Struthio camelus: one gene and its partner. The protein of the gene in region 1 interacts with the protein of each later gene in a biochemical or structural test. Links are inferred from orthologs where the notes say so. Each region holds a gene or a part of one and is shown on either strand. Other genes may lie near its edges.

Region 1 (3,740 bases):
AATGCTACTGATAAAATTGAACTGCCAGTTCCAGCACATACATATGTGCCTCAGTCCTATTTATGAATCATTCTGATTTCACTGCATTACAAGTTCTGATACATAGCTACCACATTTCTAGTCAAATTATGTTTCTGAAGTGGAAATTTATGATTTGCAGCTCAGATCAAGGAGCCACTTGATTTTTCAGAATAAGTCAGTACTTAATAGCACTTCTGTAGCTTCCTCCATATATTAATTACCACATTTTATGAAGCTTCCTGTATCAAATAAAAGTTGTAAGAGCTGCTGCTGTGGTTAAAAAAAAAAAGCATTATGAGGACTGAAGCGACATCGTATTTAACATCAATAAGTCAACAAAACAGGTGACATACTAAAAGAATATCAGATGAGCTCTTTCATTCTGAGCTAAGTGTGATAATTACATGCTAAATGTTTTCTAAGGGCCTATCAACGTTAAAAAAAATGAAAAAGAAAAATCACTGAGGTCCTTTCAAGATCAAAGTCCTAGATCTTACCCTAAATCAAAATAGTAGGATGAAGAAGCAGAAGCACTCCTAGTACAGCATTACCTCTCACAGTTTGTCACTCTAAAGAAAGAAGCTGTAGGTCAACTTTGAATGCACGACTGTGGAGAAAGCCAATCAATCCCTTAGGAAAGGTTAGGCCTCCTCCTAGGAGGCACATGAAGAACGAGTCCTGTAAAATGTACTATCCAGGTAAGGGAAAAAAAAAAAAAATGCACTCCACATTAACATGCTTTGGGTCACAGACCTATTTTATCATTAGAAATATCTTCTCCCTGCTTAAGGACAGGGATGATGCAGTTTGGGAGAAATTTATCTTTACAATGACCTATTTTCCTCCTCATAAGCCCTTGAACTTCAGCTGTGTTTTAACAAGAGCCATCTCGGGAAAGACAGATCACTTTTCCTAGCCTAAACTACCAACAGTGGAGTGAGATGGACCGTGATCTAGTCTCAAACTTAGTAAAATCCAGGAAGACAAAAATATAATCAAGCGTACGTATATTTATAAAAACTTACATGCACTGATAAATATTAAATAGTATTTAGCTATAGTGTAAAAAATACTTAGGTTTCTATCCAGTGTTGATTAAAGATTTTGATTTGCTCATACATAAATTCATAAGAAATTCAAAGTGCAAAGTTACATATTTCTTAAGGATTTACGTATAACCAGGCACAAGTGAAATTTACTAACTATAACATATACAATTAGTAATTGCTACAGAAGAAATATTTGACAGCCACACAGAAGGCTGTAAAACACAGATCCAGCAATGAAATCTACTTAGGTAATAGATTTAATTTTCTCCCAAGTATTTTATTTTCTCCCAGCCTGCAATTTCTCTCCCATAAACCAAAATAAAGTTAGCTATGAGATTTCCAAAAAACACTGTGCTTCTGTTCTATCTGTCATACCAAGCTGAGCCAAGCCGCATACAACCAGCGATCTGAAGATCAGGCCACCCTTCTTGTTTAAATAACCCGCAATAATAAATAAAGAGGAACATAAAGCAGACTCCAAGCGTGCATACGCGTTACATCCTTCATGCACGTCTCTATTATCCTCCCCTCCCCACTCGCACACACACACCGCGGTCTCCCATCTGCATTGTCTGCCTCGATTCATCTCTGATTAAAATGGACACATTCTCGCTCCTCCTCGCGCTCGGCCCGGGAGCCACGATAACCTCCTTCCTGGGGCGGACATCGGCACGGGGCACGCGGAGCCGAGGCCCCGCCGCGGGCCCACGGCGGAGGTCGCGGCCCGCCACCCCCTCTCCCGCGGGGGGCAAAGTTGACGGCGCCGGCGCGGCCGCAGCGAGAGGACGGCCGCGGCCCCGCGCGGGGAAGGCGCCGGGAGCGCCCGGCGCGGGGGCGACGGGGGGGGGGGGGGGAGAGGACGACGACGACACCGGGGCCGCCCCCCCGCGGCCCGGCGCCGCCGCTGCCCCTGCCCCAGGGCGCCCTCGGCGCGCCGCGCTCCGGCCGCCGCCGCCGGCCCCTCCCCTCACCCACGGGGGCCGAGCTGCGCCAGGCCGGCCCCTCCCCTCCGCCCCCCGCCGCACCGGCCTGCCCCTCACCGGTCATTGAGCTGGTCCTCGGTGCCCGGGAGCGGGTGCACCACGAAGTGGATCGAGGTCATGTTCCGCGCCGCCGCCGCTGCCCCCCCCGGCGGAGGGAGGCAGGCGGGCAGGCGCCGGGCACACAATGGGGGCGGGGGGGGCGGCGGGGGGAGGGGGGCGCTCGGCGTCTTTCCCTCCCCCGGGGGCGCTCGGGGCCGCCGGCGGAGTCCTTGGCTCGCCCGCCGCGACGCGGGGCGCGGGGGACGAGGGAGCCCGCAGCGGAGTGCCGGGAAGAGGCTCAGCCCGCACCGCACTCACACACGCGCCGCCATCTTAACTTCCAGCGGGCCCTTCTCCCTCCCTCCTTGCGCCGCGCCGGGGAAAGGCGGGGCGGCGGCCGGCCGGCCGCTATGCAAGCCGCGCGCTGAGTGGTGCGCTCGCCGCCGGGCAGCGCCCCTCCACTAAGCGGGCGGCGGATTGGCGGGATGGACGGGAGGTCTCGCAAAGCGCGGTGACGTCATGCGCGAGGGACGTGAAAGACCACGTGCTCCCGAGAGCAACTCCCCGGCGCTCCCCTTGGCCGCCGCCGCTGGCGGTGGCGTGCGCGCGCGTGCGGCGGGGGCGGGGCGGCGGCAGCGGCGGCGCGCGCGCGGCTCCCTGAGGCGCGGGCCGGGCCGGGCCTGTGGCGGCCCCTGCGGCCGAGCGGGCCGCGCCGGGGGCGGGCGGCTCCGCCCCGCTCCCCTCCGCTGCGGGAGGCGGCGAGCGGCCCCGGCTGGGCGCCTGCCACCGCGGGTGGGCGGGCGGAGCCGGCCGCGCCGCGCCGCCACTCCGCTCGCCAGGGCCGGGCTGGCCGGAGCTGCCGTTTGCCCGTCGGCTTAACGGAGAAGAGAGGCAGAGCGGGTGGGCGGAGCCGCGCCTCGCCACGCTTTGCTGCGGGCCTGGCGAACGAGGCGTGTCAGTGGGTTTTCGCCTCCTCAGGCCCTCCTTGTGGCGCGGGTGACCTCAGAGGGGATTTTCGAACTAGCTGCCCTTCGTTATCTGCTTTCCCAAAGTTAGGAGGCTGGTTTTCAGTTCCTGGCTATGACTAGCCGGTCGCACAGTCAGTCTTCTCTCTAATAGCCAAAATTTTCCACCCTTTTCCAGGCAGATTTGTGCTATATCAGCGTAGAAAGTTATCCCTGAAACACCATGGAGCACTTTGTGCCTTAGTGGCTGCGCACTGTGCTCCTGGAAGGGATTTTATCATGCTTTTGGAAGGGAACATACTTTGCAAAAGGGATGGTTTTTAAGAAATTAATATCTAAATTTACAGAAAGTCGAGTAACAAAGTCAAAACATTCGTTGGTTTCTACAGAAACCAACACCTTGGCTGGGATTGTACTAAACGTTGGCTTTGACTGGATTTTACTGTCTTTGCAGCTCATTCTGTTTATTTGCAGGAAATCAGAATTTTAGAAAACTGACTTGGAATTTTTTAGCATGTGCAGAATGCTTGCCACTCTACAAAAAAATTTGAAACTTGGTTCACTGAGATATAGGGTTTTTTTGGGCCTATGCAGTCATAATCCCTAGAAATCTCAGCTTGCTCTTCCCCTCTCAAATCTGAGGAGTGCATGTCACTTTGACATTTGCCATCACCCGTTCCCCT
Region 2 (3,740 bases), on another chromosome or scaffold:
CCACAACCCCATGGTAGCCCATGGGATCCCCCAGCTCCATGGTGGCCCCAAGGACTCTCCCAGCCCCACGGTGGCCACCGGGACCCCCCTAACCCCACGGCGACCCCCTCCTGCAACTCACCCCCGGCTTGAAGGAAGGCAGCCCCAGCCCCACGCCGATGGTGGCCTTGTTGGGGTTCACCACGGAGTTGTAGTGGATGTTACGGTGGTAGCTCACCCGGATCGGTTCGTCCTCGTTGTGCTGGATCCCGTGGAAGGTGTTGATGGGCTCTGTGGGACCCCCACGTCAGCACCCCAGGGACCCCCACGGACACCGGGGACCTCACCACCACCCCGTGGACCCTGGTGTCCACATCCTGCTCCTCCACCACCCCATGGCCATATCACTCACCAGTGCCGTACTGGTAGACCTCCACGGGGCGGTTGTACATCTCGGCCATGGCCTGCATCTCAATGTGGTTGCCGTGGCAGGTGCTCTTGCGCTTGCGGTTGATGTAGGTGGTGAAGTCCTCCGTCACGTAGTTGGAAAAGTAGTCGGCGTTCTTCATCTGTGCGGGCCACCAGCGCTGGGCCACGCCACCACGGGGACTGCCACCGCCAGGACCCCCCCCAGAGGGGACAGAGGGGACACCAGGGTGGCAGGGGACAACTAGGGATGCCGAGGACCCCAGGGCAGCCCTGGGGACACTGGGGAGCACAGGGGGACCCTGGGGACATGAGGACAGCCCCAAGGTGGCACGGAACAACTGGGGGGACTGAGGGGACCCCAGGGGGACACAGTCTGGCAAGGGACACCAGGGAACACAGGGGGACCCCAGGGGGATCCAGCCTGGCAGAGGACATGGGGGACCCCAGTGGACACGTGGGAATGCCAGGGGGACAGGGCCTGGCAGGGGTGGGGACAGCAACACAGGGCCACTCACCAGGTAGTCCATACAGTGCTTGCGCACCACCTCGTGCATGTCCTGGTCTCCGTACACCTGGTCGGCTGCAGGTGGGGGACAGCGCGACAGCAACGGGGCGCGGGGTCAGTGCCTGCGCCCGGATGCCTGGGTCCCTGCCCCGGGCGCCTGGGGCGGGCGAACGTGCAGGGGAGGCAGCGCGGGATGGGCACAGGGTGTGACGCGAGGTGACACAGGAGAGATGCAGGACAGATGTGGGGTGACACAGGACGGCTGCAGGACGGCCGCGGGGTGACACAGGACGGCCACAGGGTGACACGGAACAGCATTGGGATGACTGTGGGGTGACACGGGATGGCAGTGGGGTGACACGGGACAGCGGTGGCTCACCCACGGCCCGGAAGAGGCAGGCGCCATCCTCCTTCATGCGCTTAATGATGAAGCCTTTCTTCTCGCGCAGTGCCTTCTCGAACCGGTGCTCCTGCTGGAGACAGAGCTGGGCTCAGCCGGGGCCCCAGCATCCGGGCAGGACCCCCCACCCCACCAGCAGCCTGCACCATGCCAGGGCACGCGGGACAGAGACCAGCCCCCACGGGACACAAGTAACACGAGGACGCATGTGACATGAGGCCACGTCCCTGCACAACACAACCCTGTACGTGCACATGCAACACAAGGACGCAACCCTGTGTGACATGAGGCCGCATCTAACAAGGCCTCACATGTGACATAAGGGCAAGGCCCTGCATGACATGAAGACACGCGCAACAGGGACATGCTTCTTCCACATCATGCAATGACACACGTGGCAGCAGCCCTCGACCAGACACACACACACACAACACGGCCAGGACACGGGTGACAGGCACACGTGACATAATGTACCCACCCTTGCACAGTCCCCTGTGGGACATGGTGACATGCATGTGACAGCGCCACCCTCCCTGCACAATGGGACGGCACATGCGTGACAGTGACCAGCCCCTGTGGGACGCAGGGACAGGCAGGGGGGCCCGGGGGCCCTCCTATGACAGACGGGACAGTGCCAGCACCCTGTGTCACATGCATGTAGAAGTGCCACCTCCCCGGGCCATACAGGGATGCATGTGGCACCCCCAGCTCCTGTGTCACACAGGGACACACACGGCAGCACAGACATGTGGTGGTGCCAGCCCCATGTGTCACACAGAAACACACATGACACTGTCAGCCCATACCACACACATGTGCCAGCATCAGGCCCCACATGTCCCACAGGGACATGTGCAACCCCCCAACCCATGACACCTGCGTGGCACCATCAGGCCCCACATGTCACATGGGGACACACATGACACCACCAGCCCGTGTCACACACGTGTGGCACCATCAGGCCCCACATGTCACACGGGGACTCGCGCGACCCCCCCAACTCCGCGCCACCCCCACGATGCAAGGGGGCAAAACCAGGCCAGCCGGTGCCCCCCAGTGTCCCCCGCGTCCCCCCCGGTGGCGGCACCTGCTCGGCCGTGGCCGGGTCCAGCTCCACCCGCGCCGCCTCGTACTCATCCTCGCTGTTGTAGCCGCCACCGCCGGCCTCATCCGGGCCGGGGCTGCCGCCGCCGCCGCTGGGCCCGGGCCCGGGCCCGGGGCCGCCGCGCCGCCGCCGCTTGCTGAGCCCGGGGCCGCCGCCCGCCGCCACCACGGCCGCCGCCATGACGCCGCGCGCCTCGGCCCCCTCCAGCCCCAGCAGCCCTCCGGGGCCGCCGTCGCCGCCGCCGTTCCCGGAGCCGGCGGCGGCGGCAGCGGGCGGCGGCGGCGGCGAGGCGCCGGCGGCCGCCCAGCCCCGCAGCGGCGGCGGCGGCGAGGCCCGAGGTCGGGGGCCGCCGCCGCCGCCGCCGCCCTCCGCGTTGGGACCGCCGCCGCCGCCGCTAGGCCCCGGCTCCGGGTGCGAATCGGGGCCGGCGTCCGGATCGGCGTCGGGGGCCGGGCACGGCTTCTTCTTGGGCAGGATCGTCATGGCGGCGGCCGCATGGACCCCCCCGGCGCCCCCCCGCCCGCCCCGTTACCGGCCGCCGCCGCCGCCCGGTGCAGGCCGCGGGGCGGCCGCGCGCTGCGCCGCCTCAGGGGCTTTTTGATCCTCGGCGGCGCCCGTACTGCGGCCAGCACCCCCACCCCTCCCCTACCCTCGCCTCCGCCGCCGCCGCGAGGGCCCCGGCCTGGTGTCAACATCAACAGAGCCGCCCTCTGACCCCGCCGCCGCGCGCGCTCGCTTCCGCCCCGCGCGCCGCGCCCATTGGGCGCCGCCGCACACGCCGCGTCGCCATTGGCTACAGCGCTCGGGGGGAAGTCCCGCCCCCTCGGCACCTCCTCGCTCCGCCTGCCCGGCCCCGGCCCCGCCTCGCAGGAGGAGGAGGGACGGGCCCGGCGTCGCCGTGGCGACGGCGCGCGCGCGCGGAAGGCACCGCCATTGGCTGGCGGCCGTGCGGCGCGCGGATTGGTGGGGCGAGAAGGGGGGCCGGGCCAAGGCGTGCCCACCCCCTCCGCCGCCTTGCGATTGGCTGCTCCCCGCGGGGGCGGGCCCGCCTCCCCCTCGTCGGCTCCGCTTCCTGGCCCCGCCTCCGCCGCGCCTATTGGCTGCGGCCGCGACCTAATTTCCCATTGGATGGCAGCTGCAGGAGGCGGGACGATGCCGCAGTGGCCCTACCCCTAACTCCGCCCCGCGGCTGTCAATCACTCCCCAGGGGCCACCCCTTCCCTCCCCCTCCCTACCAGCTGAGCCCCCTCCCCCTAAAAGGGACCCAGGCGTCTGGGGAACCCCCCCACTCCCGTGACCTAGGCGTCAGGGCACCCCTGCCA

The links. The genes of interacting proteins can lie anywhere in the genome.
Region 2: the proteins of UBR5 (region 1) and OTUD5 form a complex in vitro, tested with the Homo sapiens proteins (2 studies listed by BioGRID, with this or other methods). The link is inferred for Struthio camelus from reciprocal best matches to the Homo sapiens genes UBR5 and OTUD5.

What each region holds. Positions count from the first base shown.
Region 1 is NC_090943.1:145,523,697-145,527,436, reverse strand, and holds the start of UBR5 (E3 ubiquitin-protein ligase UBR5), read right to left. Parts: upstream 2,283-3,740; 5' UTR 2,173-2,282; coding exon 2,111-2,172; intron 1-2,110. UniProt on the Homo sapiens protein: E3 ubiquitin-protein ligase involved in different protein quality control pathways in the cytoplasm and nucleus. Mainly acts as a ubiquitin chain elongator that extends pre-ubiquitinated substrates.
Region 2 is NC_090979.1:307,407-311,146, forward strand, and holds the start of OTUD5 (OTU domain-containing protein 5), read right to left. Parts: upstream 2,917-3,740; 5' UTR 2,902-2,916; coding exon 2,401-2,901; intron 1,387-2,400; coding exon 1,293-1,386; intron 989-1,292; coding exon 924-988; intron 549-923; coding exon 392-548; intron 271-391; coding exon 122-270; intron 1-121. UniProt on the Homo sapiens protein: Deubiquitinating enzyme that functions as a negative regulator of the innate immune system. Has peptidase activity towards 'Lys-48'- and 'Lys-63'-linked polyubiquitin chains. Can also cleave 'Lys-11'-linked ubiquitin chains (in vitro).